4 linked regions of the Notamacropus eugenii genome follow. The protein of the gene in region 1 interacts with the protein of each later gene in a pairwise test. Links are inferred from orthologs where the notes say so. Each region holds a gene or a part of one and is shown on either strand. Other genes may lie near its edges.

Evidence for each region.
Region 2: the proteins of FHL3 (region 1) and KIRREL2 interact in binary tests that used the Homo sapiens proteins (3 or more experiments, as listed by UniProt). The two-hybrid records come from large-scale screens. The link is inferred for Notamacropus eugenii from reciprocal best matches to the Homo sapiens genes FHL3 and KIRREL2.
Region 3: the proteins of FHL3 (region 1) and PATL1 interact in binary tests that used the Homo sapiens proteins (3 or more experiments, as listed by UniProt). The two-hybrid records come from large-scale screens. The link is inferred for Notamacropus eugenii from reciprocal best matches to the Homo sapiens genes FHL3 and PATL1.
Region 4: the proteins of FHL3 (region 1) and PAK5 interact in a two-hybrid assay, tested with the Homo sapiens proteins (2 studies listed by BioGRID and IntAct). The two-hybrid records come from large-scale screens. The link is inferred for Notamacropus eugenii from reciprocal best matches to the Homo sapiens genes FHL3 and PAK5.

What each region holds. Positions count from the first base shown.
Region 1 is NC_092876.1:81,223,914-81,231,305, forward strand, and holds the start of FHL3 (four and a half LIM domains protein 3), read left to right. Parts: upstream 1-4,385; 5' UTR 4,386-4,490; intron 4,491-5,210; exon of another isoform or gene 5,211-5,410; intron 5,411-7,392. UniProt on the Homo sapiens protein: Recruited by SOX15 to FOXK1 promoters where it acts as a transcriptional coactivator of FOXK1.
Region 2 is NC_092876.1:33,020,462-33,027,645, reverse strand, and holds the start of KIRREL2 (kin of IRRE-like protein 2), read right to left. Parts: upstream 3,001-7,184; 5' UTR 1-3,000. UniProt on the Homo sapiens protein: May regulate basal insulin secretion.
Region 3 is NC_092873.1:5,566,584-5,574,127, reverse strand, and holds the start of PATL1 (protein PAT1 homolog 1), read left to right. Parts: upstream 1-4,521; 5' UTR 4,522-4,657; coding exon 4,658-4,672; intron 4,673-5,253; exon of another isoform or gene 5,254-5,437; intron 5,438-7,544. UniProt on the Homo sapiens protein: RNA-binding protein involved in deadenylation-dependent decapping of mRNAs, leading to the degradation of mRNAs. Acts as a scaffold protein that connects deadenylation and decapping machinery.
Region 4 is NC_092872.1:582,972,816-582,979,924, reverse strand, and holds the start of PAK5 (serine/threonine-protein kinase PAK 5), read left to right. Parts: upstream 1-4,089; 5' UTR 4,090-4,260; intron 4,261-7,109.

The sequences.
Region 1 (7,392 bases):
TAGATCCCTGGAAATTAAAGGTATGTGAGTACTGAGCAACTGTAGACCAGAGAGAGTGCCTTTGGACACCTCGACACACAGACACACACACACAGACACACACACCAGGACCTAGCACAAGCTGCAGGCGGCCCCACACACACACACACCTCCAGCTGCAGGGAGCACCCCAAAGCAAAGATGACTAATTAAGCCTGTGAAGGAAGGAAGTTCTCTTGATAGGGGAGAAAGGAGGGGTTGGAGTAGAGAAATAGTACAGGGAAGAAAAGGAAGGCTGTTTTCATTGCATTAGCATTTTTTTATATTTAGTGGTTACACTACCACAGGGCAACCAAGTTCCTTCCTATTCAGCCATGCCAAGTCCAGCCTGGACAAAGGGAATGCATCTGCAGGGACCGACCCCTCCTAACCCCTACTGCACATTACTCCTCCTCCCTCTGCCCCCACTGCCCTTCACGTGCTCGCAAGCGTGGATCAGGGGCAGCTGCCTGATTGCCAGCTTCTCCAGTGCACCTGTTCCATGGAGCCTCTAGGGTGGGGTGAAGGAGAGAACAGAAAGTCCAAGTGGCCTAAACCCCACAGGGTCCCCTGGTGGCATACCCCCCAGGCCAAAAAAGCCAGGGACAGGTCACGTGGGGACCTTGGGTTGTGGAGGGAGGCAAAAAGACACAGCCAATTTGGCAGCCTACTCCAGGGAGTAACAGCTAATTGCTTTTACTACCAGCCCTACTGTTTACTACTTCTGTGACCTTGGCCAAATCCTACCTCCAGCCCACTTTTTCTCACCTGGAAGTCTCTCCCACCTCCTCTCAGCCTCCTGGATTCTCTGGCTTCCTTCAAGTTCCAGCTAAAATTCCTCCTCCCTTCCCCCCCCCCCCAGCAAGTCTTTCCTAGTCCCCCTTAATGCTGGCTCCCTCCCTCTGTTAATTAGACCCGATTTACCCTGTATATAATTTGTTTGTACGTTAGTGTTTGCATGTTGTCTCCCCCCCATTAAGCTGTGAGTTCCTTGAGGGCAGGGACTTTCTTTTACCTTCCTTCACATCTCTGGTGCTAAGCAAAGAGTAGGTGCTCAATAAACATTTATTGACTGATTGACTGCAAAATTAGGTGATTACACTAGGGCCCTAAGGTCCATTTAAATTCTAAATCAGGGAAACCTGCAGCCTTGAGGCCACCGGTGGCCCTCTAGGTACTCAAGTGTGATCCCTTGACTGAATCCAAAGCAGTCAAAGGATCACACTTGAGGACCCAGAAGCCTCAAGGCTGCAGGTTCCCCATCCCTGTTCTAAATCCCACTGTCCTAAGACATACCTGGCCTTAAGACTCAAAGTTCCCTGGCTGAAAAGTCCCTCTGCTAGCTGAAAGTGATCTCTGCTGCCTCCAAATTCTCTTGTTACATTGTTACCTCTCTTGTGCTCTTATGTGCTATTTTGAATTGTGGTGGTTTGAGTACAGGTCTCATTTCCCTACCCATTGTAAGCTTCTTGAGGACAGGGACCATTTTTTTTTTTTAATCTTGGTGGCTCCCCCAGTGCAGAGCACAGAATTTTTGAGGTAATACTTGTGTAATGCTGGTACAGTGGAACTAGTGTTGTATTTGGAGTCAAAGGGCCCAGGTGCAAATTCCATTATCGTTATTACCTATGTACCCTTAAGCAAGTCGCTTGGCCTCAGTTTCCCCATCTGTTAAGGCAATTAAATGAGATGGCCTCTAGGGTCCCTTCCAGCAGGAATACCTTGGAAGGAAGACCTTCCAAGCTGGAAGACCTGGGTTCTAGCCCTGGCTCTGCCTCTTGTTCCAAAAGAAGCCTAGGTTTCCCTATCTGTGAAATGAGTGATCCTTCTACATGGTCTTTGAGCTGCCTTCGAGTTCTGACCTATATTTTAAGGTTCCTTACCACTCTAACATTCTGTGGTCTGAGGCCCGGGTCTGATGTTCTCTGAATTTCTTCCATTTCTTCCTGCCATTCCATTCCCTAAGCTCCCAGCGCTGCAACAACTGAACCCCTTAACAAAAGATGGAGAAAGGCAAAGATCTCAACTTCCTTCATTCAGCCATGAACTTTTAGTTTCTTCTCCATTACCTTCTTCCCTAAAAGGACCAGGATCCTAGAATCCATTCCAGTCTTCAGTGCTCCCCTTCTGCCCAGGGATCCCTTCCCTCCCCAGGGCAGAATCCCCTCCCTCTAAGTGATCGGACTCTCCCCAGTAGACCAGACCACAAGATAGTGGCCAAAAGCTCAGACCTCCAGCATTCCAGTATTGATGCCTCCTCATGGATCATTCCAGTTGAAAGGAAACTTAGACCATCTAGGCCAACCCCTCATTTTGCAGATGAAGAAATTGGGGCACAGACACTGGAAAGGATCTGCCCTACGACCACATGAAAAGACTCACAGGCCATGCTTTCCTTCACCACAGGGCTCAGAATAAATTTAGCACTGATCAGAATCCCTTGGGTCTTAAGAAAAGAAGCAGAATTAGAGGCCGAGAGCCTCAGAATGGAAAGAAACCTAATGGGGTGGGGGCTGGAGAGGCTCTCCTAGGATTTGAATTTCTGTTCTTAATTGTCCCTGGAGCCAGTTTATCTGGAAGGTTATTTCTAGGATCAGTTTGTTGTCTCTATTTTGCAAACAGCCCCAGCAGTGCCTCCTCACTTCCCCCGCTTTCCCTCCCCCAGTCACTCAGGGGCTATTTATTTCTGGTGACAAGCCCCATCGTCCCTTGGTGGGGGTGTATCAAAGCATTGGAGGGGACAGGGTGTCACTGGCAACAGGCAGGCAGTCACCCAGCCTCCTATGGCACAGGAGAAGGTTGGAGCAAAAAAAAGCCCTAACACCCCCACCCCCAGCCACTGGCCTTTCTCTCTTCTCTAAAAGTACTGGGCTCAAGGGATCAAGGATCATCAGGCTCTCCCCAGGGCCTCAAAGGTCATGGTTATTTCTGAACACTGGGGAAACAGAGGCAGTAGAGTCAGGATATTTTTGGTGTCAGAGATGGGGCCTGAGGGTAGGTTGGAGAAAGAAGGCGTCTCCCTCCCTTCTACTACCCCTCCCTCCTCACTTACACACAAGTACTCCAGCACTCATAACTTTTAAATAAAGAACTCTGGAAGGTCACAGATCCATCGGCAGGAGTTCTCCTTCCTGCTGTCACCACTATGAATAGGAGGAGTATGTCCTCCATCTCTCAAGTCAGCTAAGGAGAAAGTTACCCATGTAACTTTGGGGGAGTCCATTTGTTCTCTCAACCTGCTTTTTTCTGTTAAACAGGAAAGTTATGACATACTTGGGTACAATGGAAAAACCACTAACTGCAGTCAGAGGCCTGGGTTCAAATTCCCCCAAAGATGACCTTAGAAGAGTCTCTAGGCCTCAGATTCCCCACATGTACAATAAGGAGGTCACAATAGATAGCCTCAGAGGTCTCTTCCACTTCTAGGTCTATGATACCATGACTAACTGCTCTCTAAATGCCCTTCCAGCCTTAAATCTAACAGTCCTAGGACCTGAGAGACCATGCCCCTACCTTTGCCTGGGCTACAGCTAAGCTAACCCCAACTGAGCTCCTTATCCCAAGCTGTGGGATCCAATTTGTGCTCCGTAGTCATAGTGGGCTAGGGATCTAGGAACAAAAGACACTTCCACCCCACCCATAGGTAGGAACTCCTTGAGGCCATACTCAGATTCTTGGAGTAGGGGCTAGAAAGATTCCACCAAATAAAAGGGGAGAGATCAGTGGATAGTGAGTGAGTCAGAGGAACTTGTATAGTGGGAAATGGGCAAGACTTAGAATCCTATTTCCTGGCTTCAAATTCTGGTTCTGCCACTTTCATTGTCACTTGTGTGACCCTGGGCAAATCCCTCTGGGCCTCAGTTTCTTGATGTGTCAAATGAAGGGTTTGGACAAGATGCCCTACCAGCTTGAAATCCCTGAGCTGATAGTTTAAATCCTAGCCTTGCTATATACCATCTATGTGATTTAGGCAAGTCACTTACACCCTGTGGGCCTCAGTTTCTCAAAATGCAAAATGAAGGGATTGGGCTAGATTAACAAAATTCTATATTCATTCTGAAGTTCGAGACCCCACCTGATAATACGCCCTAATCCTCAGCCAGGGAGGCCAGAGCCACGGGCTCAGAAGAGCCCCGGGAAGGCTTTCAATTCAAAATGCCTACTACGTGCAAAGCCCTAGGCTGAGGACCAGCACAGATAGGCCAAGCTTGGGGAAGGGGACTCGCGGAGAGGCTCTGGTCGAGGGGGCGGGCCCCAGGTTGTGGCGGGGAGACTAACCAGGAGGGGGGGTGGGTCCGAGAGGCACTGGGCCGAGTTGGGGGGAGGGGGGCCGGGGGCGGGGTCCGGGCTGGGCTGGGCGGGCTCCCGCCCTCACTTCCTCCGGGAGGGGTTAGGGACGTAGTGCTCAGAGTCGCCCACACAGTCTCTGGACAGGAGTCGTCCGAGCCGCGCGTCCAGCCCCGGCCCCCCAGGTAAGAGCCACCGCCCCGAGCACGGCGGCGGACAGAAAGACTCGGCCAACCAGGATCCTGCCCCCGCACCCCGCCCTCGGCCCCCTCAGCGGCTGCGCCCCCTCCTCCACCCCATCAAGCCTGCTGGCTGGACTCTACCCTTGAATGTGCCCCCAGCCCCACGTCCCAGGTCTGTCAGTCCCCTCCTGCTGGGGCAGGAAGGTGTGGCGGGAGTCGGGGGCGCGGGGAGCAGAGAGGAGTTCCCGGCTGGCACACAAAGAGTTAACGGCAGCTGTTTCTCCGCCTGTCCCTGGCTGGCTTGCCTGCCTGCTTGTTCAGGGTCCCAGCTTCCGAGCGCCCCCAGAGCCCGGGAGACCGTGCTGAGCTGTGCTGCATAGTCGAGGCCGGGGATGGGAATGAGCTTCCCGCTGCCGAAACCCCACTGACATCTCCCTCTTCCCCGCCCTTCCCCAAAGGCCGCTGTCCGTGCCCTCCCGCGGGGAACCGGCCGGCTAGTTTCTGGTCCTGGCCAGGTTCTCCCTTAGGGGATGAGGGAGGGAGGCCGGGCGGAGACTCCCGCTGTCCCACTGGGTGTGGGACTGTTGTTGGGAGCCAAGTTGGAGAAGAAAAAGACAGAAATTCGGAGACACTGAGAGACTGAGACACGATTGAGAGACAAAGATGGAGGAGGCATCAGGGAAAGAGAAACAGACACACAGAGGCTCAGAGTGAGACACTTACCTGGCGAGCTCCAAACTTTTATCTTCCAATTCAGATCTCTGTTCCAGTGCCTCAGCCCCAGGGGACAAAGACTGAATGAACTGGCTGTCCCTGGGCCCATGGGAGTTTCATCTCTCCATCCCTTTGTACCCAACCTTTTCCTTTCGCAAGCAGCTTTGTCCTTCTAAGCCCCCATGGTGGGGAGGGGGGGAAAGAAAGAGAATTTAGCTCTGGTGCCAAGCAGCTAGTAGTGGTAAGGGGGAGGGAAGGAAGGAGGTAGGGAGAGAGAGACAAACAGACAGAGAGAGAGAGAAAGTGTGTTAAATTTCTCCCCCTGAGTATTCTGTCAACAAACCCACCAACTCTTGGAATCTGTGGAAGGGGAGGAAAGGGGGAGGGGGCAGAGAGGGAAGGTTGTAGTCCTAGTCACAGCTGAGGGGTGGGGTGCAGGGCAGATTCTGTGCTAGCCTGTGGGGAAATAAATGTCCTCACATATGTATGCCCTTCCAAACTGTGGAGCAGTTAGTGGGAATAATGGGAAACTTTATTTACATGAACATTTAGGGAACTGGGAGTATCTGGCCCTCAGTGATAGAGGAAGAAAAGGGAACCTAGACCCCAACCCTGTTAATGTTCTCTGCCTTTTGGCCAGCTTGGCTGAAACATTTCCAGATCTCTCCTCTCCCCTGAGAATTCAGTATTGGCAGTCTCTTGGAGCCAATGATTCCTGTAGGGCTCAGAGACATGATACCAGGTGTGTCAGAAAGGAAGGAGGGAGGGAGAAAGATGTCTGGGTAACCCTGCAGTCTGGGGTTCTATAGTGTCTTTTCCACTGGAGCTAAGGAGGCTGAACCTGAGGGAATACCTGGGCTTCCTCTTAATTCTCATGCTGGATAGACTGATCAGGGAGCCCTTTCTACATTTTTGTTCCTAGACAGGAGCTCCATTCTTGGCTATAGAATATAACAATTCAGTTCAATTCAATTCACCAAATATTTATTACCAAATGACTACTGTGCTAGATTCCAAGAATACAAGAACGACAATTACTACGGCCACTGTCCCTACCTGGCTGGAATTTACAATCTGCTATGGGGGATCTGACTCAATGGAAACAAAATTAAGCCTCCTACTAGAGAGAATGTGATAGGAACAAGGGAGAGTTAGACTAAGTGCTCTGAGAAATTTAAGAAGGGAGAACCACACGGAAGGCACTCCCTCTTAGGGGGAAGCGTCCCGGACTTCAACTAATGCCTAGGAAGGGATGGAGATTCTCTGATCTTTGTTACCCACTTGGGCCACCAGCACCACTGCACTGGGGAAACTCAAAGCCTGCCCACTCCTGGGCATAAAAAAATCAATATCTTAAGATCCTGCCCCTGGCCATTCAGACAGGATTCCAGGAGTTAAGGGACTAAATGGCTCTGTGTAGATCTCAGAGCGTTGAGATTCTCCTTTCGATTGTAGCTGTTGTACCTTGGGGGAAGAGGGAATCCAGTACACAGGACTCTGCATTCTGGTGACTTCTTGCCCCCCCCCCCCAACCTTTTTCTGACTAGTACCTAAATTTGAGGGGCAGGAAGCTCCTGGAAAGGAAATGGAGGGTATAAATTGGGGCAGGGGAGGGGGGGATTGAAGAGAGTGGCCTGAAGGGATTCTAAATCTCATCCACAAAACTCAGTTACTCTAGCTGCACCAGGAAGACCAGATGGGCTTTGTAGTGTGTGCTAGATGGATTGTTGGTCCAGAAGTCCGGTAGACCTGGGTTCAAGTCCTGTCATTGGCAGCTATGGATAATAACGTCTCTTGTTGCTGCCTCATGGGGATAGTGAGAACTTAATAAAATAATCTAGGCTAAGTGCTTTATGAATGCCAGCTAAGTCTTATTATTCTCTGACTTCCCCCTTCCACGACTTAGGAGGGGAAACCCCTTGTTTCAGGAGCTGGAGGCCAGGCCAGGGAGGAAGGAAAGGGTCTTGAACACTCCCAGACGGATGTCCTGCCACACTCCCCACCTGCACTGACCACTCTCACATATAGTATTGAATGGCCAAGGGGAGCTTCAGATGCTGGGCCAAAGGAAACATGAGCTGGGGGGGAGGGAGGAGGGAAATGGGGGGAATAGAGATGCCCAGGACAGAGGGGAGGAACATTCTGGAGAACAGGAACCTGTTTCCCCCAGAGCTCTCTCAGCTTTGCACAT
Region 2 (7,184 bases), about 48 Mb from region 1:
GGGATCAGCAGACGCTAGACATCTGGCTGAATGCCTGAGCTATCAGGGGCAGGGGAAAGGAGGGCAGCGCAGAGGCTGCAGTAAGGAAACTTGTGAACTATTTCCCCCAGTGCTTTTGCTCCCTACCCACCAAGATGGAGATGGAAAGAGGGAGTGTCTGGGAGGAGGCCCTAGGGAGCCAAGTCAGGAAATAAACCATTGCTGGGCAAAGGGAAGGAAAATAAAAGTGCTGGGGGAGGAGAAGTGAAGGGTGATGGTGAGATCTGATGCTAATTAAAGATGATGAGATTCCTGGTCAAAGGCAAGTGGCCCAGACCTTTTCTCTGCTTATAAAGTCCTTGGTGTAAATATATATCCACCCTAGACTGAAGCATGCTGATCTGAGGTACCACAAAGCCTACCCTCAGTCCCCATTCCAGAAACAGGTCGTACCTTTTTAGGCACCCTTCTACCACCCAGGGACCCTATGGGGATGGCCTTCCAGTTTCCATCCTTGAGCTCTTGGATTCTTGTCCATGATCAGCTCATATACCATTCCCCAAGATCCCCTGGATTCTCCAGAGTTAGCTTCCTTGCGGGAGCGAGACTTGGGGTGACTACAAGACATAGCAAGGGGAAGGGAATGAGGACTCCGGGAAAGACTGGAGAGATGCTGTAAGGAGACAAAAATTCTGAAACGATCAGAAAATTTGAAAAAAGAGGCTGGGGCAAGGAAGGAAAGAAATAGAAATCTAAAGGAGTAGATGAACAGAGGGCAAGTGACACGAGAGGGTTTTGAGAGCTGGAAATTGGGGCTCCCTTTAAAAAAGTCTTCACTTAACAGGGGGTGCTAAAAACTTGGTGGGAGGAAATTGTCAGAAGGAAGGAATCTGAGATGAGGGTGTGTGGAGTGATGTGATTGTATGAGTAAATCTCTGGGAGCTAAAATGAGAGCAGAAGAGGCTTATCCCTTACAAGGGACATCAGCATATGGTCCAGGAATTATAGGATGTGGTAAGGCAAGAAACAGAGTGACTGACAAGAATCAACATTTATTCATTTAGTTGAGAAACCATGAAAAAACTCCCTAGTGCTCAGGAAGGGACCTACAGATCACCCAGTTTTACTCCCTGAGCCCACCATAGGCTTAGAGATCCCATAATAACACCTTGTAATGCTGGCAGGAACACAAACCAATATACCTATGAGGCCTAAGGAAACCTACCCTAGGTAGTATGGGAACCACATAACCCACACCACCACTTCCATAACCTAGCTGGAGCTCAGAGGTACAACACAGATAGGATCCTGAGCCCCTACTGGGGCCGGGAAGATCCCACAAAAACACAGCTGGTGGCCTTACCTACAATGTGACAACCATGTGAGACCAAAAGAATCCTATAGATACCATAAGAACGAATACATATAGCAGGGGGTGTGCAACAGCAGCCCTGGGTGCTCAGTGGGGACTCAGCAATTCCACAGTTAAGTCATCTGTGAACTCTCTGGAAACCTCATAGGGAACCCAAGAGGGCACCCCATCATAATACTGCTGTAAGTCCAGCAGGAACCCAGAAATGCCACAATCACTCCCATGAGACACTGACACCTCAAAATAGCACGAATGCCAACTGAATACAAACACTCTATAATAATAGTGTCCACTGTGGGGACAGCAGAGTCCCAAACATCCAGAGTGATATACTTGTAAGCCCACTGGGAAATCAAGGATCCCATAATAATATCCCTAGGAGGCTCCAGCGTCCCATGAATAAATCAATGAAAAAGCATTTATGAAGTGATTACTGGGTTCTAGGATCTGTGAGAGATACAGATACAAGCAAGACAGTCTGTGTCCTCAAGAGTGCACAACACATAAAGGGGAGAAATGAGAAGGGTGGTAAATGCTGAGGTGACAGGGATACAAAGACAAAACCAAAAAGAAGTCCTGACTTCAAGGAGCTTACATCCTCTGGGGGAGGAGAGAACATGTGAAGAGAAAAGTATATACAGCACACGACAATATGAAGAGGGAAACAGAACAACAGGCTCTCCAAAGGAGGTGGAAACCACCCAGGAGCTGGGCCTTGAAGGAAGCTCAGCATTCCAAGAGACAAATTAGAAGGAAGGAGGAAGTGCATTCTAGGCATGGAGGACAGCAGAAGCAAAAACATGGAGGTGAGAGATGGAATTCTGAGTTATAGCTTGTTTGGCTATAACAAAAATCATGGCAAGGGGAGCACCAGGTTGTGAAGAAGTGAAAACAATGAAGACTCCCAGGAGGTTCTCAAGCAGGGCAGTGATGAGGCCCCACTTGTGCTTTGTGTGGAGGAGGCCAACTATCTAGGGAAGGAAGGGAGCAGGAGTTCTAACGGATTGGGAGGCTCTCACAAGTAGTCCAGGCAAGAAGTGTGAGGCAGGTGTTTATAGGAAGAGAAGGGAATGGATACAAGAGGAAAGAAGAGCCTAGCCTGAACCTAAAGATGACTCATTATCGTAGAGATCAAAGGCTCCCCCCCATCACATGTGCTCTGACAAGGACCCATTATGTGCCAGATATGGCGCTTAAATGTAGAGATAGAAAGAAAGGCAAAAAAAAAAAAAGTTCCTGCTTTGGAGGATCTCACAACCCAATGCACGAAATAACCTGAAAGCACTATGTACCAATAAGGTATAAACAGAATAAAATGGAGATAACCTTTGTTGACCGTGGACAAAAGGCACTAAAATTAAGGAGGACTGGGAAAGGTTTCTTGCCAAAAAAAGGTGGGATTTTAGCTGAGACTTGAAAGAAGCCAGGAAAGCTGGGAAGCAGAGGTGAGGAGGGAGAGAATTCCAGGTGTAGGAGACAGCCAGTAAAAATGACACAATAGAATAAGTGACTTTTTTCTATCTCAGAAATGTGTAAAACACCAGAAGTCTAGGGCATTTGAAAAGTCAGCACCAGTATAGATCATCAAGTAGAAAAAGTCACTTATTCTATTTTGTCACTTTCACTGGCTACACAAATGCCTGGAAGAAATGAATCAAAATATTTTAAAAAGCAAAATAAAAGATCTAGAGGAATGAATTAGAAGGATAGAAAAGAATAGAAGGAATTAAAAAAGAAAAGTCCAAGTAATGGACTCTTCTGAAAATCAGAAAAGACTAAATGGATATCAATGACTCCATAAGACAGCAAGAAATATTAGAACAAAATTAAAAGATTGGAAAAAAATTAGAAAATGAATTTATCAATAACAACTTGCCTAGAAAATCGCTTACGGAAAGATAATCTGGGAATCTTTGGACTCTCTGAAAACCATTTATTCAGAGGATGTTAACCATCTCTTGACAGAGATAATCAATTTAAGGTTCAAAAAGAGACATATTTTTGGACATGATCACTGCGTGGACATGTTTTACTTGACTATGTTTATTTGTTGTATAAGGTTCTCCTTCCCCATCTTTTTAAATGGTGGAATGGGGTGGGGCAGGAGGATTAACAATGATGATGCTAAAAAAGAGTGTTGCTGAAATATTTTTAATACACAAAAGATAATGGGAGGAAGTTCATTAGCAAGTACAGACAAGCAGGATAATTTTGAAAAGTAACGTTGAATTTATTACATACTTTTTTAAAAGCAAGTGATTATTAAATGATAATAGTCAGCTATGTTTAGCCTTTAAAAAAAGATATTTTGCTTCCTTTATGTAAATTAATATTTTCATATGCAATCTTCTTTTTGTATTCTGCTTGCATATATGTAAATGCTCTGCCTTTAAATTCTGAAAAAAAATCAATTAGAAAATTTGACAGCTGTGTGGAAGTTTGGAGAGGTGATGGTGGCAGCGAGACTAATTAGGATGCTATTGTGATGGTTCAGATTAGAGGTGATGAGGATCTGAATTAGGGTGGTGGCACTGTGAGTTGAGAAGAGGACTGATGAGAGATATGTTGTGGAGGTAGAATACATAGGACTTGGAAACTGGATATGAGAATTGAGGGGGAGGGAAGAGGTGAGGATTATCATCCTAAAAGTTTATGACTGGAAAGATAGTGGTTCCCTCCAGAGAAACAAAGCATAGAGGAAAAGGAGCAAATTTAGGGGGGGAAAGATGAAGAATTCTGTTTTGGATATATTGAGATTGAGAGGTCTATGGGACATCTAGATGGAGATATCAAGCAGGTAGTTAGTTATGGGGGATTGGAACACAGGAGAAAAGTCAGGTCTGAATATGCAGATTATGCAGAGAGATTACTAAACCCATGAGAGCTGATGAGATCCCCATGGAAGAATTTGTGGAGTGGGAAGCCAAGGGGATTCAGGAAAAAGCTCTGGGGTAGGTACATCCTTCTACAGGGGACAGGGCATGAATGATGATACAGAAAGGGGGATAAAAAGGAGAAGCCAAATAGGGAGAATTAAGAAAGATCAGTGTTCAAAAAATTCTGGGAGAGAGTATATCTAAGAAGGATTAGTTAGCAGTGAGAAAAGCTGTTAAGGGGCCCAAAAGGATGAGGAATAAGAAAAAGCCATTGCATTTAACAATTAGGAGAATATGGGGAACTTTTAAAAGTTTCAGTTGAGTGGGGGGGAGGGAGCATTTTCTGTGGTTGTTCAGTCATGCCGGCTTTCTGTGACCCCATTTGGGGTTTTTGTGGCAAAGATACTGTAGTGGCTTGCCATTTCCTTCTCCAGCTCATTTTACAGATGAGGAAACTGAGGCAAACAGAATTAAGTGACTTATCTGAGGCCAGTCTTCCTGATTCCAGGCCTGGCACTCTCTTCACTGTGCCACCTCGCTGCCCAAGCCTGCCAGCCACTGCTAAGTGCTTTACAATTATTACATTTGATCTTCATAACAACCTTGCAAGTAGTTGCTGTTTTACAGTTGAGGACACTGGGGTAGAGGTTAAATGACTTGCCCAGGACCATACAGCTAAATCTTAATTCAAATCTTTGTGGCTCTGAAGCCCACAACACTATCCACTGAAAGTCAGTTTGCAAAGGGTCAAGAAGTAAGTAGAATATGACGTAAAGGAAATTAACAAAAGCAATTTTCTTTAAGAGTGGCTGTGAAAAGAGAAGATATATAGGATGATAATTTAAGGGGATCACAGGGCTGAGGTGTCTTCCCATTGCCTGTAGGATAAGACACAAAATCTCCAGCTTGGCATTTAAGGCTCTTCAAAGTTTGCCTCCGGCCCTATTTTTCCAGCATTATTTCAAGTGAAGGTAATAGTGGAAGGTACAGTGGAAAGAATATTGCATTTGGAGTCAGAAGAGCTGGGTTCGAATTCTGGATCAATCATTATTTTATCTGTGACACTGAATCAATCAATGAGAAAGAATTTTTTTAAAGTATTTATTAAACAGTTATGATGTCCAAGGCACTGAGGATACAAATATTTTCTCCCATTCTAATGGGGGGACACAACATACATGGAAAGTTTCAGCTGCAAGTCAGATGGAAAGATCCCATGGTCCTTAGGGTGCAACAGCAAGTTGGTAATTAAGGAAGATGGTAATATCTCTTCTTTCATGTCATTTTTGATAAAGTTCAGGTTCTGATTTGGCAACGTCAAGGCCTTGGATAGCAAGAATTTTCTTTGCAGTTTTCAATGGTTGTAGGAGCAGCCGCCAGGCTTCAGTTCCACAGGGTTGCTTCCTAGGATGATCACTGTGGGCACTGCGCTAGAAGCAATGCCAATGCTTTTGGGGCCTAGGGTCCTGGGGTCTGAGAGGTTTGATTTGCTTAGCCCTCAAGGCAAATAATTTAAGCTCTTACAAAATCTCCAAATGTGAGAGTCAGGAGGGAATTTGATGGTCCTCTAGTCCATCATGAAAAGAATACCTGTTATAACGTATCTGACAAGTGGTTGCCCAAGCTCTGGTTAAAGACCTCTAAGGCAGGGGAACCCAGCACTTCTTCAGGTAAGCCATTCTACTTTGGACAGCTCTACTTTTTAGGAATGTTTTGTGATGTCTAAGAGAACCAGCCTGTTTTTCCTGATATATCCAGAGACTCTCACCCTGAACCAGGATGAAACTTAAGAGTGAAGGGGGAGTGTAATGGGAGACTGACCAAAGGGCCCAGTCTTTACGAGCATGTGCAGCATGCTCAGCTAATTTCCACATGGACTTTGGAGCATGTGCAGACATTCTATAACTAGTTCTAGTCTGCTAACCTCATGGTAAAAGGAGCCTCTCCAAATGGCCACAACTTTCTAGCCAGAACTGGGGATGTATTTAAAATCAATTAGCTGAACTCATTTCTTTTTTCAATTTCTTTCTGCCTTCCAGCCCACTAGTTTCAGCGAGAAAAGTGTTACCATGCAGTTAGGGGATGTGTCAAGGGCTTTACCCAGACAATGTGGACCTAGAATCAGGGAATACAAGTCTGAGTTCTGTGGAAGAGTATTAAAAAGTTCCTTTTTAGTTCAACTGAAAATATTAAGAAATAATGTTTTTTCAGCCTAAAAATCTTTTCCCTCTAAAGGTCCCAGGAAATGGATCAAAGGTGACAGAACAAAGACAAAGGTCCCAGGAAAGGGATATAAGGTGATAACCAAACTGAACTCTCATCTAGGTAAGATCGCTGCCGGCCCATCCCCTGAAGGGACTGGTGCCATCAGCCATTTACAGGTGATATCTTTTTTTTCTTTTTTTTCATTCAAGAATTATTGATAAAAGCTTTTCAGTCCTTAAGGAGTGATCAAGGAAGGAAACGGACAGTGGCTGTTTTGGGAACACTAACCCCAAGCTATGTTTAACATATTATGATTGTTTCCTTGTTCAAGAGTCCTCAAAATGTTACCTCAGATCGTCTCAGGTTAGAGATATGCATCTCAGAAGGCACAGGAGGAACTATGCCAGTTTGGATCTCTCTCATCTAGGAAAGGTATGGATATAAAATAATGTTAAGTTCAAGACTGTTCTACAGACTTGGGCCTAAAATTCACCACAGTCATTTTTCCTCCATGATAGGTAAAGGAGATAGGAGACTATGATCTTGTGAGTCTCAAAAGGTCAAGAGATTGAGTCACCAGGTCCTGAGTGCAGCCTCTGCTGGGATTTGGCTCAGTGGCCACTGACATTCACTTAGTAGCCACGTTCAGACCTGAACTTGGTGGGATGATGTTCTGGAGAAGCCCGCTCACCCCAGAGACCAAGGGGAAACACTGAGAAGGAAGATTGGGGCTTCTGTTCTTGCTACTTAGC
Region 3 (7,544 bases), on another chromosome or scaffold:
GTATGTGTACAACCTATGTAAAATTGTATGCCTCCTAAAAGAGGGAGGGGGGAGGTAGGAGGAAGAGGGAGGGAAAAAGTATCTAAGTTATATGGTAGTGATTAAAGGACATCTCGTCTCACTGGTCCTTGAACAGGAAACACTTTTACAACATTGACATAACATAGCCATTCAGCCTCTGTCTATATATACTCAATAATGGGGAACTCACTACATTTATTCCATCCCCTACCTCCATGCTTTTGCATGACTGGTACCCCCTGCCTGAATTCCCCCTCACCTCTCCTCTGCCTCTTAGAAATCTTTGTTTACTTCAACAAGTCAACAAGCATTGATTAAGCACTTACTATGTACCAAGAATCCCAGAGGCTACTAAAAAAGGCAACAACAGTCCCAGCTCTCAAGGAGTTCTCATTTTAACAGGGGACATAACATGCAAACAACTATGTGCAAACTACGCACACATACACACACATACATATACATGCATATGATGAATTGATGAGGGGTGGGGAATCCGTACCTTCAAGGTCACATGTGGCCCTCTTGGTCCTCAAGTGTGGCCCTTTGACTGCATCCTGGGACATCTCCAGTCATCCTGATGAATATCTGGTCACTGGATTCAGATGGCTGTGGAGGAGAAGTGAGGCTGGTGACCTGCACAGCCCTCCCTCACTCCAAACAAAGTCAAGTGCAAGTCATGTCATTATTTCTCTGATGGCATGGTCTTCTTCAGCAATGAAGGACAAAGTGCCACCTCCTTCATGAAACCTTTCTTGATTCCTTCCCTCCCTGTAGCAGTACCTAGTATAAACAAGTATGTTTATCCTGTGGGAAAAAAAAATCTTGTATTTACTTTGTAGATAGTTTGTGTAGCTTATGTATTAGGTACATTGTTTCTCATGAGAAAATCTAAGGAACTGTTTCATTTTTTTGTAACCCTAGCACAGTACTTGGGTATAGTGTTTGCAACATTCTTGTTGAATGAAATTGAATGACAAGGGTAGAGGTTGAATGGAGGTTGGAGTTAGATGCCATAAGGGAGGTAGCAAACATCCAGAAAGGGAAGCAGTTATTACAAAGCGCCAGCATGACTTCATTAGGATGACTTCGATTATTTCCTTCTTTATTTTTTTGATAAGGCCACTTAACATCTGATACCAAGGGAAGGCTGTGGGTAAAGTTGTTAGATTTTAACAAAGCATTAGATAGAATGTGTCATGTTCTTCTTATGGAGAAGACTAAGAGACTTAGGCTAGACCATCCTAGAATTGCCTTCAGAACTGTTCAGGATTGTGAATTGGCTTTAGAATCATTTGAAGAGCAATTAGACTTGATCAGTTTGGGGCCCAGAGAACAGAATAAGGAGCAAGGGCCAGTGGTCAATTGAGGGAATGTCAGGAAAAATGTCCTAACAAGAACAGTTGGCCCCAAGTGAAATGAGTTACCTCCTTGGGACGTGTTTAGTTCCCTCTCATCAGATATTTTCACCAAAGGCTTTTCAGGAACAGTAGAGTGGACTTTTCAAGAAGCAAAATGGTTTAATGGATAGGGCATGAGACTTGGAACTGAGAGGACCTGAGTACAGGTCCTGCATCAGACATTTAGTGGCTCTGTGATCCTAGGAGGGTTGATTGATCTGTGTTTAGGTTTCCTCACCTGAAGGTGAGGTGGACACAGTGGCCTCTCAGATCTCTCCTAGCTTGAAATCTTTGATCCTATGATCCTTCCATGTTGGATTAGCTGGCTCCTGTGAAGCATCCAACTTAAATTCTATGATTCTATGTGTGAGGAGGTATGGGAGGGGAACGTTGCATATAGGCTGAATGGACACTTTAGAAATTATAGGCACAGAATTAAGTGCACAAAATGAAGCACGCAAACAGGTTTGTATGCATACACATATGTATGCATTTGTGTATTATATCTATATAAAATTATTATATATGTATGTATATATTATATGAGTGTTCATATATAGGAAAATTGATATAGAGATCTATGGTCTGCAGATCTATATAGAATTATATATTGTTCAATTGTGCCTGACTCTTTGTGACTTCATTTGGAGCTTTCTTGGCAAGGATACTGGAGTGGTTTTGATGAGGCAGAAGAGTACTAGAAGTAGATGGAGCAAGCAGGATGCAGGATATGAGATATGAAATAAAATGCAGGGTACGATCGACCAAAAAGTGATCAAAGAAAACTAGGCATTGAAGCCCCTCACCACGGATTTACCTGTGTGCTTTCACAAAGCACCCCCAATTCCAGAACAACTCTTCCCTTTCCCTCCTCTATTGTCTTTGCTTATCTGTATGATAAAGCACCTCAGGCCTATCTGATATCCCAGGCATTTTGGAGCATGGCTTGCTCCTCCCATTCCCTTGTCCTCTTTTCCTCTATTCCATAAAATTATACTTAAACCAGACACCGAATCCCAATAACCACTTTTGCCTCCTATGAAGAGCAGGGCCGCTCTGCTACCTTAGGTGAGTAGGACTTGCCACCTATGCTCTGCCTCCCCTGAGTTTGACAGTATCACCCCAATAAATGCATTTCTTTAACTTGGACACTGAGTGAACTCTTTCAAGGCAATAGGACCCACACAGCTACTCCTCATCATTTCAGGTGATTCTTGGGGTGCAACCTGAACTCATCAGTCCTCCATTTTCTTCTCCAGCTCATTTGATGGATGAGGAAACTGAGACAAACAGGGTTAAATGACCTGTCCACGGTCACACAGCTAGTAAGTGTCTGAGGCTGGGTTTGAACTTAGATCTTCCTGCCTGCAGGCCAGGCATTCTATCTACTGTGTTACCTAGTTGCCCCCAGATCTATATATTGTGTCCCAAAAGTCTTATCGAAGTTTAAACTATTAAAATACAGACTGGCGTTAAGATTCTTGGCACAGTCTGCAGAGCAAGGAGGTAACCTTCATGCCAAAAAAACCATAGGATTTAGAGATGGAAGGACCTTAGATATCTGGTACCACAACCCCCTCCTTTTACAAATAGACCCATTGACCAAGGTCAGCAAATGATACATATATACACACAAGTACATACGTATACATTGGAAGCACAGTACGGTGGGAGGAGGTCTGACTTGAGAGTCATGAGGGCTGGGTGCTAGTCCCAGCTGTGTCACTCACATTGCTGTGTGACTCTGAGCACATTACTGGCAAACTTTAAAAGCACTAGATAAATGCTAGCAATTGTTATTAGCGCCAGAAAAACAGTCATCTTACACCTTTTCTGATGCAGTTATCATGTAGCATTGAGAAATCTAGTGATCTATGCGCCTTACCTGCTCCTAAAGTGAAAACAGAAGAGAGGGAGGGAAGGTGGAAGAGAGGAAGGGAAGAAAGAAGGGAGAAAGGGAGGGTAGGAGAGAAGAGGGGAGGAGAGGGAGGCTGGGAAGGAAGGAAGGAAGGAAGGAAGGAAGGAAGGAAGGAAGGAAGGAAGGAAGGAAGGAAGGAAGGAGAAAAAAGAAAAGAAGGAAAAGAGGAAGGGAGGGAGCGCGGTTGGGAGGAAGCATTTATTAAACTGCCCCGGTGTGTCAGGCCCTGTGCTAAGTTCTGAGGACCCCAAAAAGGGCAAAGTGCTGCGGCGCCCCAGGAGCTTAATGAATGAGACGGGCACCGCCCCGCCCCTTCCCTGCCCGCGCGGTGGGCACTGTGGGCGCCGGGAGCAGCCGCCCCGGGAATCCTGGATCTCTGAAGTCCCGGACTAGTAGAAGCCAATGACCTCCCCCACCCCACCTCCACCCTCGCCGCGGTTCAAAGCGGGAAAGCCCGGGGCGAGGGGCGGGCAGGGTGTTGGACGGCGGGACCCCGCCTGCTCCATTTAGTGACTCTCCGGTAAATTTGGGGTCTTCAGCGCGCGGACGTTTCCTAGGACGGGCTAGAAAGTAAAGCAGTCGAGGGCGGGGGGAGTTGTCCTCGAGCCTCGGGGCAGTCCCCAGCCCAGAGCGCGGGCTCCGTCACACCTGCGGGCCTCAGGGTTTGTTGATGGATTGACACAACGTTCATGGAAGGGGCGGCGGGGCTAGGGAGAGGAGGAATGGGGTGTGGGGGTCTACGGGCCCGGACGCCGGCAGGCCGAGGCCGGCGAGGACTCTCAAGGTCAAGGGGGCAAGAATGCTGGCCTCCAAGTCGGCCCCTCGGGCCACTATCTGGTGATAATCACAAGGACTTCCCCCGCGGACAGATGCCTCGTGACCCGAGTGCCCGCCACGCCCCAGACGTGGAGCCAGCGCCAGTACCAGGGAACACAGCCCGAGGCCAGCCGGGGGTGGGGTCAGCCGCGCGCAGGGGCAGAACTGAGCTCTGGGACTTATTTGCCGCTGTCCTCAAATGACTAACGAGCGTCAGATAAGTCCCCGCGCAGCCGCACGAGCAGGGAAGGGCCCTTCCTCTCCCCTTGCCCTCGGATTCCCCGCGGTACGGTGCAGCGCGCCTGCGCACGCCCCTTCGCACGCTGGCACGCAAGAGGCGTACGGCGGCGGCTAGGGGTCGCGAGCCGCCGGAGGAGTGGCGGGCGCGCGCGGAGGAGCCCGGGGCGTCGGACGCGTCTCCCCCCCTCCCCACGCCTCCCTCCCCCATCCCCCTCCCGCTCCGCCTCCTCCCCCCCTTCTCCCTTCCCCCTCCCCCCCGACGATGTTTCGCTACGAGGTGAGCGCGGGCCACCGGAAGTGGCCCCCCGGGAAAAGGGGGGAGGGGGACAGAGGGAAGGGGGGACCCCCTCCCCGGGAGGAGTGAGTCGGGGGAGCGGGAGAAGCTGGGCCCGTTACTCCCGTTACACCTACCGAGCGACGCCCGGGCCGGGAGCCGCTGCCCACCGGAGACCGGGGGTCGGGGAGGCTGCCCTGGGGCCTAGGGGAGGGGTCTTCCTCTATAGACTTCGGGGGCTCCCCTTGGACCATGAGGGGCTCCCTCTGCAACTTTAAGGGAGTCCCACTGTAGCCTTGGGGAGCTCCCCCGGGGCCTCGGGGGCCCGTCTGTAACTTTGGGGGAGTCTCTGCATCTTGGGGACGCCCTCGGGGTCTTGGGGCTTCCTTTCCACTTGGCGGAGTTCTCTCCTGAGCCTGGGGTGGGGCCGAGATGAGGGCCTGCCGCTTCCCGGGCTCCCCACCTCTCGGAGGAGCCCCAGGGGGTCGGTGCTGGAGGTGCAGCAGGCCCGGGGGGAGGGGGATGACCGAGAACAGCGCCTGCCTCCGGGCCTCGACCTGGCTACCCAGAGGCCGAGGTCTGGGGCGGTCATAACCTTGACCCAGCTCACAAAGGCCGGAGCCGCCCTCTTGCTGGAAGGCACCGATGATGCCTCTAGGGGAAGCTTGTCTGCGAGCCTCTTAGGTGCAGGCTGCCTTTGGCTTGGAGCTTGGGGTGTGTTTCTATTGCCGCTGCTGCTGCTGCTGTCCTTAGAGAGAAAGGAGAAAGGTTTGCTTTTTGACTTTAATCCCTCCCTTAGGTTTCGGGCAGGAGCTACCTAGACCAAGCCTACCTTGCCCTGAAATTCGGAGCAGGGAGCTTTCTCCAGGACTTTTGTGGGATAAAGAAGGAACCTGAGATCCCCCAGGAGGTGGGGAGGTGGGGAGGTGGGGTGCGTGTTCATCTCCTTCAGTAAAGAGACAGCCCAGACTTGCTTTTTTTGACATTGTGGGAAGAGCCCTGGTCTTGAAGTTAGAAGGGGATTTGAATCTTGCTACTTAATTGCAACTTGGGCACAAGAGTGGAATCAAGCACTAGAAAGAGCTTTAAGGAACATCTACACATCTTATTTTACAAGGGAAGAAACTGAGGCCTGGAGAGGTTAGGTGACTTAGGTGCTAAGTGATGGCAGAGTTGGATTTGAATTCAGGTTTCCTTTCTCACCTTTCATACATTCAACAAGCTTTTATTAAATTCCTGCTATTGGGAAGAGCATTGACTCAGGAAACAGAGGACCCTATTTTGTGTGACATTGGGCAGGCCTTTTCTTTTCTTGGAGTGTTATTTTCCCCATCAGTGACATGAGGAGGTTGAAAAAGCCTTTGATGCCCCTTCCAGCTCTAGACTTGAGCCTATGTGCTGTTCTCTGGAGATACAAAAGTAAAAATTAAACATCCGCTGCCCTTGAGCTTAAGTGCAAATACACACATGTAGTAATTTCTGATAGTGGTGGGAAGGATCAGGAAATATATGAATGAGGTTAAACTTGAGATGAGCTTTGAAGGAGGGTGGAAATTCTGAGAGGTTCATGTGAGGAGGGAAGACTTTATTTACACAGAAAATAGACTTGGTAGGCCTCAGTTTCCTTCTATATCCAGTTGTAAAATTCTGTGATTCCTAACCTGGTGACTTTAAGCAAAGCGATCATAAGCTCATATATCTAGAGCAGGAAGGGACTTCAGATCATCTATTCTAAACTCCCTCATTTTACAGATGTGGAAACTGAGGCCCAAAGAAGTTAATTGACTTGCACAAAAAACCCATCAGTAGTAAAAAGGCAGAGTTGGAATTCAGGTCCCACGTCCTTAGACTCTAAGACTGTCATTCTTTCCACTGTACCACATTGCCTCCCTCATCTTTAAAATAGGGAAATATAGAGCCTCTTTCCCTTACATTCCTCAGCTTCTTGAACATCTCTGTGTTCTGTGATTCTAATGATAATTAGTAGTAATAGTAATAACACTTTGCATTTATATAATGCTTTAAGGTTTGCAAAGTACTTTACAAATATCTCATTTGATCCCCATGACAACCCTGGGAGGTAGGTGCTATTATAATTCCATTTTACACATGAGGAAACTCACAGGAAGAGATTAAATGATTTGTCTGGGATCACAGTGTTAGTAAGGGTGTGAGACAGATTTTGAAGTCAAGTCTTAACTGACTCCAAGTCCAGAACTCTGTCCACTGCACGAGCTAGCTTAGAGAACTGAGTCACAGGGCATAGTGCTAAACCTCTGGTTCATTCACCCCACTAGAATTAATAAGAAGTCTCCATGGAGCCTTGACATCAGGTTTCCCAAACGGCACTAACTTCTGATGGACTTTTGATGACTGTGGAAATAAAGGGTGGGAATAAGTTGGCTGTTGTCATTTTTTAAAAAAGCAGAATGAAATAATTAACAGAGAACAACAAAGTAGGGGAAAAAATTCATATGCCATGCAATTGTGTTTGTGCAAGGCCATGGACATGATTTATCAAGATGTGCTTTGTTAGAAAATGGAGTGAATTGTGAGTCTGAAGATTTGCTATAGAGGCATTTCTTTTTATTTCCCAAGTTAGGGGTGAGAGAATGTTGGGAAATATTTAAAAGAAAGGAGTGATAGATTGAGAAAGAGATGAGCATGGTGGGAAATCAGTTTATAGGGGAAAATACCTAAAACTCAGAGCCAGAAATGTAATATAATTAACTTTCAATTCCTTTTACTACTTCAAACAGATAAGGAAGTTAAGAATTAGTTTCAGTTCTGACATATTTGTAGCAGTTGAGATTTAAGAAGAAATCCCTTTACTAGATTTCTGATGAATCATGTGAAATGATGCAGTCAAGAAAAT
Region 4 (7,109 bases), on another chromosome or scaffold:
GAAAAGGGGCAGCTTGATGGCACAAAAGATAGTTCTGGGCCTGGAATCAGGAAGCCCTGAGTTCAAATCCTGCCTTAAGACATTTACTAGCTGTGTGACCCTGGCAAATCACTTAAACTTGTTTGCCTCAGTTTGATCATCTGTAAAATGAGAAAGAAATAGCAAACCACTCTAGTATCTTTGCCAAGAAAACCTCAAATTGGATCAAAAAAAGTCAGACATGACTCAAAAACAGCAAAACAATGGGAGATGAAGTATCTTGTGGGAGGAAAGGCAAACAGGCTAGTGTCACTGATTCACAAAGTACCTAGAGGGGATTAAGTATAAGGAGACTGGAGAGATAGCAAGGCAGCAGGTTGTGAAGGGTTTTGAATGACAGAGGATTTTTTAGTTGACCCTAGAGATGGTAGGGAGCCACTGGAGTTTATTGAATGGGAGTGGGAGGTGACATGGCTAGCTCAACTTTATGAAAATCACTTTGCCAGCTGAGTAGAGGATGAACTGAAATGAGATAGTTGAGGCAGGAAGACCAATCAGTAAGTTATTGCTATAGTCCAGGTGTGAGGTGAGGACCTTCACCAGAATGGTGACAGTATCAGATGAAAGAAGAGGGCACATATGGGAAAAAAAAATGCTCTAAATCATTAACACCTAGAGAGAGGCAAATTAAAGCAACTTTGAGGTGCTACCTCCAACCACCAGATTGGCATAGCTGAAAAGGAAAAAATAACAAATGTTGGAGGGGCTACAGAAGACTACGCACCCTAATGCTTTATTAGTGGGGTTGTCTTGGTTTAGTCTATATTTGGTACTAATTTAATTAAGTTCTATTTTAATATAATTGGTTTTATTTGTAATCTTTTGTATTTTAAGTACTTCAAAACATTATTTTGAGACAGGGTCCTTAGGCTTCATTCAACTGACAAAGGGGCCATGGCACAAAAAAAGGTTAAGAACCCCTGGCCTAGGAAGGAAACAAATGTTTATTAAGTACCTATTATGTGCCATTAATTTTGCAAATATTATCTCATTTGATCCTTACCACCACCTTGAAAGGTAGGTGCTATTATTATCCTCATTTTACAGTTGAGGAAACTGAGGCAGACAGAAGTCAAGTGACCTGCCCAGGTCAAAAGCTAGTAAGTTTCTGAGACTTATTTGAAAACTCAGGTCTTCCTGATTCCAGGTCCAGTATTTTATCTATTGCAGCACATAGCTGCCTAGATTAAATCAGTACCATATGATAGTATAGGAAGAGTATTTCCTCTATAAAATCTTCTTCTGATTCATGTTGGTGATATGGAAGCAATGATGAGTTCTAAAATATTATGCCAGCAGAGAACAGCTCTGTTTGGCAAGATGGAAATGCTAAGACTATGGGGACAGCAGCAGATTGGAGATCTGTTATTCAACAACTAGACTATCCCAGTTCAGAGAGGTTCTTCGGTAGAGAGTTGGCTCCTAGATGGCAATATTTTAGGGTACAGAGCAACTAATGAAAACTTCCAGAAAGTCATGGAAAGCTTGTGAGCATCATTGGTGAAGGGAGTTCTCAGATCAATAAGACCATAGAACTTTGAAGTATTAAAGGAATAGTATTTAATCTGCAGGAATGGGCAATTCTTTTTGTTACTTTCAAGAAAAAAGTACAAATTCTCAAGTTTTTATTATATTTCAAATTTTTTTAATGTATCAAAAAAAATTTCTCCTGTTTACTAAAAATTCAGCTTCAGGCCACTCCCAGGTGTCTGGGGTGGGGGCGGGGGGAGGAAGAGAGAGAGGAGGGAATGAAGGTAAAAAGGAGGAAATACTTAACTTTCAACTAAATGGGAAAAAAGGTAGTTTAGAAGTAGTAGTCTAACCTATACAATTACAAAATCAGAGATTCAAAACTGCAAGGCATCTTGGAGGCTATTGAATCCAACTCCCTCATCTGCAGATTAAGAAGCTGAGGCTGGGTGATTTGCCCATTGTCTGGGGCAGAATTTTGAACTCAGGTTTTCCTTACTCTAATTTCATCACTTTAGTCAATTTGATATAGTATCGAATTTAGTATTAGAAACATGGGTTGGAATCTTGACTCCACTTCTGACTAGTTTACTAACTTTGGGCAAATCTCTTGATCTCAGTATTTGTGCATCAGTTCCCTTGTTTGTAAAGATGATTTTTAAGATGTCTTGTGTTCTACAATCCTATAATGCTATGTGAGACTAGATAGCTTCCAGAAATACGTTCTCTGTTCTCTCATCTAAAATAAAAGGAATCATGACATTTCTCTGTTTTAAAGAGGAATATTTAAGAAGGGGGAGGGAGGAAAATAAATCTTTTCTTAGCAAGGATCTGTGCTGTTGTATGGCACTTACTGCTTTATGAGCTTTGAGTAAATGAAAAATCAGAGAGCAGGAGAAGGATAACTGCTTTGCCATTATCTATTTAGCTATGAGAAGATACAGAGCATAATGTGGGTACTGCATATGCAAATCTTTGTTTTGCAGACTGTTCAAGATATGTCCATTTACCAAATACTTGGAGAATAAAGAAGATGGGATTTGGGACTATAATTTTATCTGGGTTCAAATCCTCTCTCCGCTTGCTGGTTTGATCTTGGGCAACTTCTCTAGACTTCTGATGTTGTCTAAAAGACGATGGATGGGCTAGATATAGTTAAGATCTTTTTCCTACTAAACAAACTAAATGAAAAACCCTTCAGAGAACAGCTGCTTTTTCATTCCTTAAGAAGGAAAATGAATTCCATCTCCTAAGCCTCAAAGAGACGTGTATTATTTTTTTAAATCCGCAAGAAGGGCCTTCCAAGTGCAGCCGAATTACCCATAATGGGAAAACTCAGTATCTCTGATATTAAGTTCCATCTCTGTGCAATGTGGGTTGTGAAAATTCCTAGAAGAAATCAGTCTGGGGTGCTGAGAAGGCAGCCCTTGGGAAAGTGTACTTTTTTAATGGCAGGAAGAGAATATGAATATCCATCTTTCTCTTTGCCAGCTGGAACTTGGGTGTAATTCTGCTGAAAAGCCTGCTATCCTTGAATGCAATCGCTTTCTACTCTTAAACCCAGAACCTGTTAGTCTTCCTTACTGAGCATGCTCAGACACATTATTGGAGCACTGAATATTTGACTTTCGGATCCAGGTTTTAGCTACTGCAAGGAGAAGGCTGGCAAAGAGACTGTGGAATAGGTTGTAAGAGATAGCGACTACCACCGCCCTCCCCGCTCCAGCCGAAGGGCAAGGGGTGAGAAAGCATCTAGGGGGTGTGGTCACCCAGATCAGTGGAAAGAGGCTTCGGAATTTATCCCTTACCAACTATTGATCTAGCTTTCCTCAGATTGCAAAGGAAGGTGCCCACTGGAATCCGGGTCAGGTTTTATTGGTATGACAAGTCATTGATCCAAAAACATAAAGAAGTCCCTGGAGACATTCGTTTTAAGGAAGGTGCAGCTGTTCCCAAGGGAAACTTTAGGAATAGTTGCATATAGGCTCATATGGGATGGATGTAGTGTGGCACCCAGAGCTACAATTAACCACCACGAGGGTGGGTTTTATGGGAGGTGGGAAACCCCCAAGCCAGTTCTAATCACTAGGGGGTCCATGCTAGGAGCGGAGCGCAGGACTGACTTGTAATCGTCAACAATGTATCTATTTTCTTGGCAAGTGTGACAAGTCCGAATTCTCTCACGGTGCCCTCAGGCCGGCCTTTGCAAATTGCTGCCCTCCCTCCAGCCCTCCCAGCTCTCACTTGGGTCGCTAAGCTGTAGACGGTCGGAATGCCTAGGCTTGGGGGTGGCTGCCAGGATAAAGTCAGTTCAGGCAGCAGAGATGCCTTCTCCCGGGCCATTGCCACCGTCGTCCTCTCCGGTCCCAGCTCATTCCGGGCTCAGTCCGGTCCTCGTGGAGCCACCCCCAGCTCCCCACGCGGGGCCAGCCCCTCTGCCAGCTCCTGCCTGTCCTTTGGGCTGCAACTAAAACGCGGAGAAGTGGACTTGGCAGAGAGAAAACCCCTCCGTGGCTGCCAGCGCCGGAACTGGGCATGCTCAGTCGGAGAGTAGCTCGGGTCCCCTGTAGGAGGCTCTGGCTCCCCAGCCTCTCCGCTCCGCTCCGCTCCCCACCCCCGCCCCTCTCCCCAGCCCTGCCTGTAGTAGTTACACACCGCGCTCCCAGGGAGACTGGGAACATGGCGCTGGGAGCCGTGTGAGAGCGGGGAGGAGGGCATGCAGCCGCCGCTTTGCTGACAGCCAGCCACCAGGTAGGGGCACGCCGCGAGAAGGGGCGGGAGGCGGCGCTCCGGGAGAGGCGCCCGAGGGGCCCCGGAGCATCCTTCCGTGCCGGAGTCCGGGCACGGAAGGAGGCGAGCCCGGTGAGAAGCCAGCCCTCTGACAGGGCAGCCGTGCGCCGCCTGCCCCTGGACCGCCCGGCACGAGCGGGCTGACACAGGTAGCCCTCAGCTTCGCCCCAGCTTCGGCCGCTCTAGGAGAGGCGTAGCTCTGACCCCTGGGGGAGAGACGGGCATGGAAAAGCCCGGATAACTCGCGGAGCCGGAGCGGTGGCACCCCGCACAGCTGCGGAGCCCCCGAACGTGCCAGCTCTTTGTGTCCCCGGGAGCCTGTGTCCGGTGTAGCGGAGGCTTGGATAGATGCTTCTCCGGAATAGCGCCGGAGACGTGGCCAGACAGAATCCGCTGTGGGTTTTGTGTCTTCGCAGGTGTGGACTGAAGCGAATAAGGGATGTGGGGGGAGTGTTGGGGGGCTTTCCTTTGTTGTGGTGTTACGTGTGTGTGTGATTGCCAAGAGCGCCCGGAAACTTGTCATTTTGGGCACGTGTGTGGACCACAGTCCGGGGGATGCTTTCTCCTCTGAACTCTGCCCAGGATGATGTGGAGCCTTGGATTCCAGGTGGGCAAACTTCAGTCCGTCGGGGAAGAGCATCAGTGCTCCTCTGAGGCAGGCGGTGCATAGCCATGGGGCTACACGTGGGATAGCAATTCAGTCAGCCCCATAAAATTTCAGTGAAGTGGATGTAACTAAATGCGCTTGTGTATCATCTCAACGGATGGTTGCCCAAAGAGAAATGGTTCGTTTTCAGTAGGTGAAGAGACCTAGGTTTTTAGCCCAGTTTTGACACTAACTGGCTGCATGACCTTGGGGAAGTCACTTAACCACCCAAGGCCTGAATTTTCTCATTCACAAAATGAAGAGTTTATATTACATGATCTCCAGGACTTCTTGTAAAGAGTTCAAAAATCATGTGAATCTACAATTTCAACATCCATATAGTACAATAGTAGTTATGTCAACTTACGTTTGGCTAGATCTTATAACTTCTCAAAGCTCATTCTTATCTAGTCTTTCAATCTCCACAATCCTGTGAAATAGACTGGGCTGGTAAATCTAGACATTTTATTACTTAAAAAAATAAAAGAGTTGGTAGAACTTAATACTGTCATAAGTATTTGGCTTCCAAAGTGACTCTAAAATGAATATTGTTAAGTGTGAAGTATATAATAATATATATGTATGTGTGTCTATATACATATATATATGTTTTTTATCAAATAAAATATTAAAGTTTGAAGAAAATATGATTAGCTCAGTTAAGCCTTGTGTGTATTTGGTGTAGTAATATTTTGAGAAAGAGTGCCGAAGATAAATCTGAGAATGCTGCTGAAATAAGAGGTGGTGTCAATTTCATCAATAATATTAATAGTATAACAAAATATTTTATTTCCTAATGAGAAAGGGCATGAAATGATTGTATTTGCCACTTCTCCCTGTATAAGTTTTTGTTACTTAGATTTGCAGAATTTTAGAGCTGTAAGAGACATTAGGGATCATTTTACCCAAGCTCCTGATATTAGCATAATGGCTGTGGTTTTTAGTATGAAGTGAATATGAAAGTCTTTGAAGTTCCTTTTCTTGGTGTATTCCATATGGTGAGAAATCATGATTCTGCCACAGCTGGATTGATGTTATTCTGAGAAGAGAGTTTAATAATAGCGATAGCATTGGCTGACCCCCACAGAACACAAAGTCTGATGACTGTGATCATCGAGAAGAAATAATGAAACATATTTTTCTTAATATCTTATGCAGCCTTCTAGATGATTAGTTATATATATATATACATTACATATGTTTGAAATACTGCTATAATGTACTTATTCAGCAGTCTGTTTTCCAGCAGCCTTAACTAGTAGAACCTAGATAAGAACTAGATAAGACTAGCAGAAACCTAGATAAGAGCTTGTAAAGTGGACTCAAAATGTCATATTGGTTAAAAGAGGTTTGATAAAGTCTATGCAGGAAAGCTCTTGACTACTTATAAGAGAGCTGCTCAAGTCTCTTTATGCTATAGCTTTATAGTTTTAGATATAGTTCTGACAAGTTTAGTTATCTGTGTTTCCAAAAACTTGTTGCTAATTTTTGGATGGTGAGAAAATAAGTGGAAAAAAACATGCAAAGCAGACCTGAGAACTCAAAAAGCGTAATGATATGGGCCATTTGAGATAGGCATGAACAGGTAGTGGACCTCCATGTCTGTGTCTCCTTATTGATGTTTATAATGATGGACTTGAATCGCTAAGAAAAACTTTAATTGTTTTTGATGTATTTAAGAAAGCCAAACCTTTCAGAATCATCAAAGCAAAGTTCTTAAAAACATAGGGTAACTCACAGGAATCTTCCCCCCAAATAGATTTTATTTATTTATTCTGTTTTGCAAATCAGAAATAACTTAGAATATTTTCTGTAAGATCCCAGAGAAGGACCAGTGTAGGCAAAGGCATTGAAACAAGAAAATAGGAAGTGTTACACCACTGAAAAGTTGTTCAGTTTGGCAGGAATGTAAGGTGCATGGAGGGGAGTGATATGAGTTAAGGGCAAAAAGGCAAAGTACCAGATTGTAGAGCATAACAAATGCCAGGCAAAGGAGTCTGACCTTTAATTGGTAGGCAATAGAGGCACCAGTGATGAGTTGTGGACACAGATATAATGTGACCAGATTTATAAGTCAACAAGACTTTAGTCTAGCAGTAGTATGAATGATGGTTTAGAAGGAGGGGAGAGAATAGAGGTGTGACAACTTGTTTGTTGTTCAGTC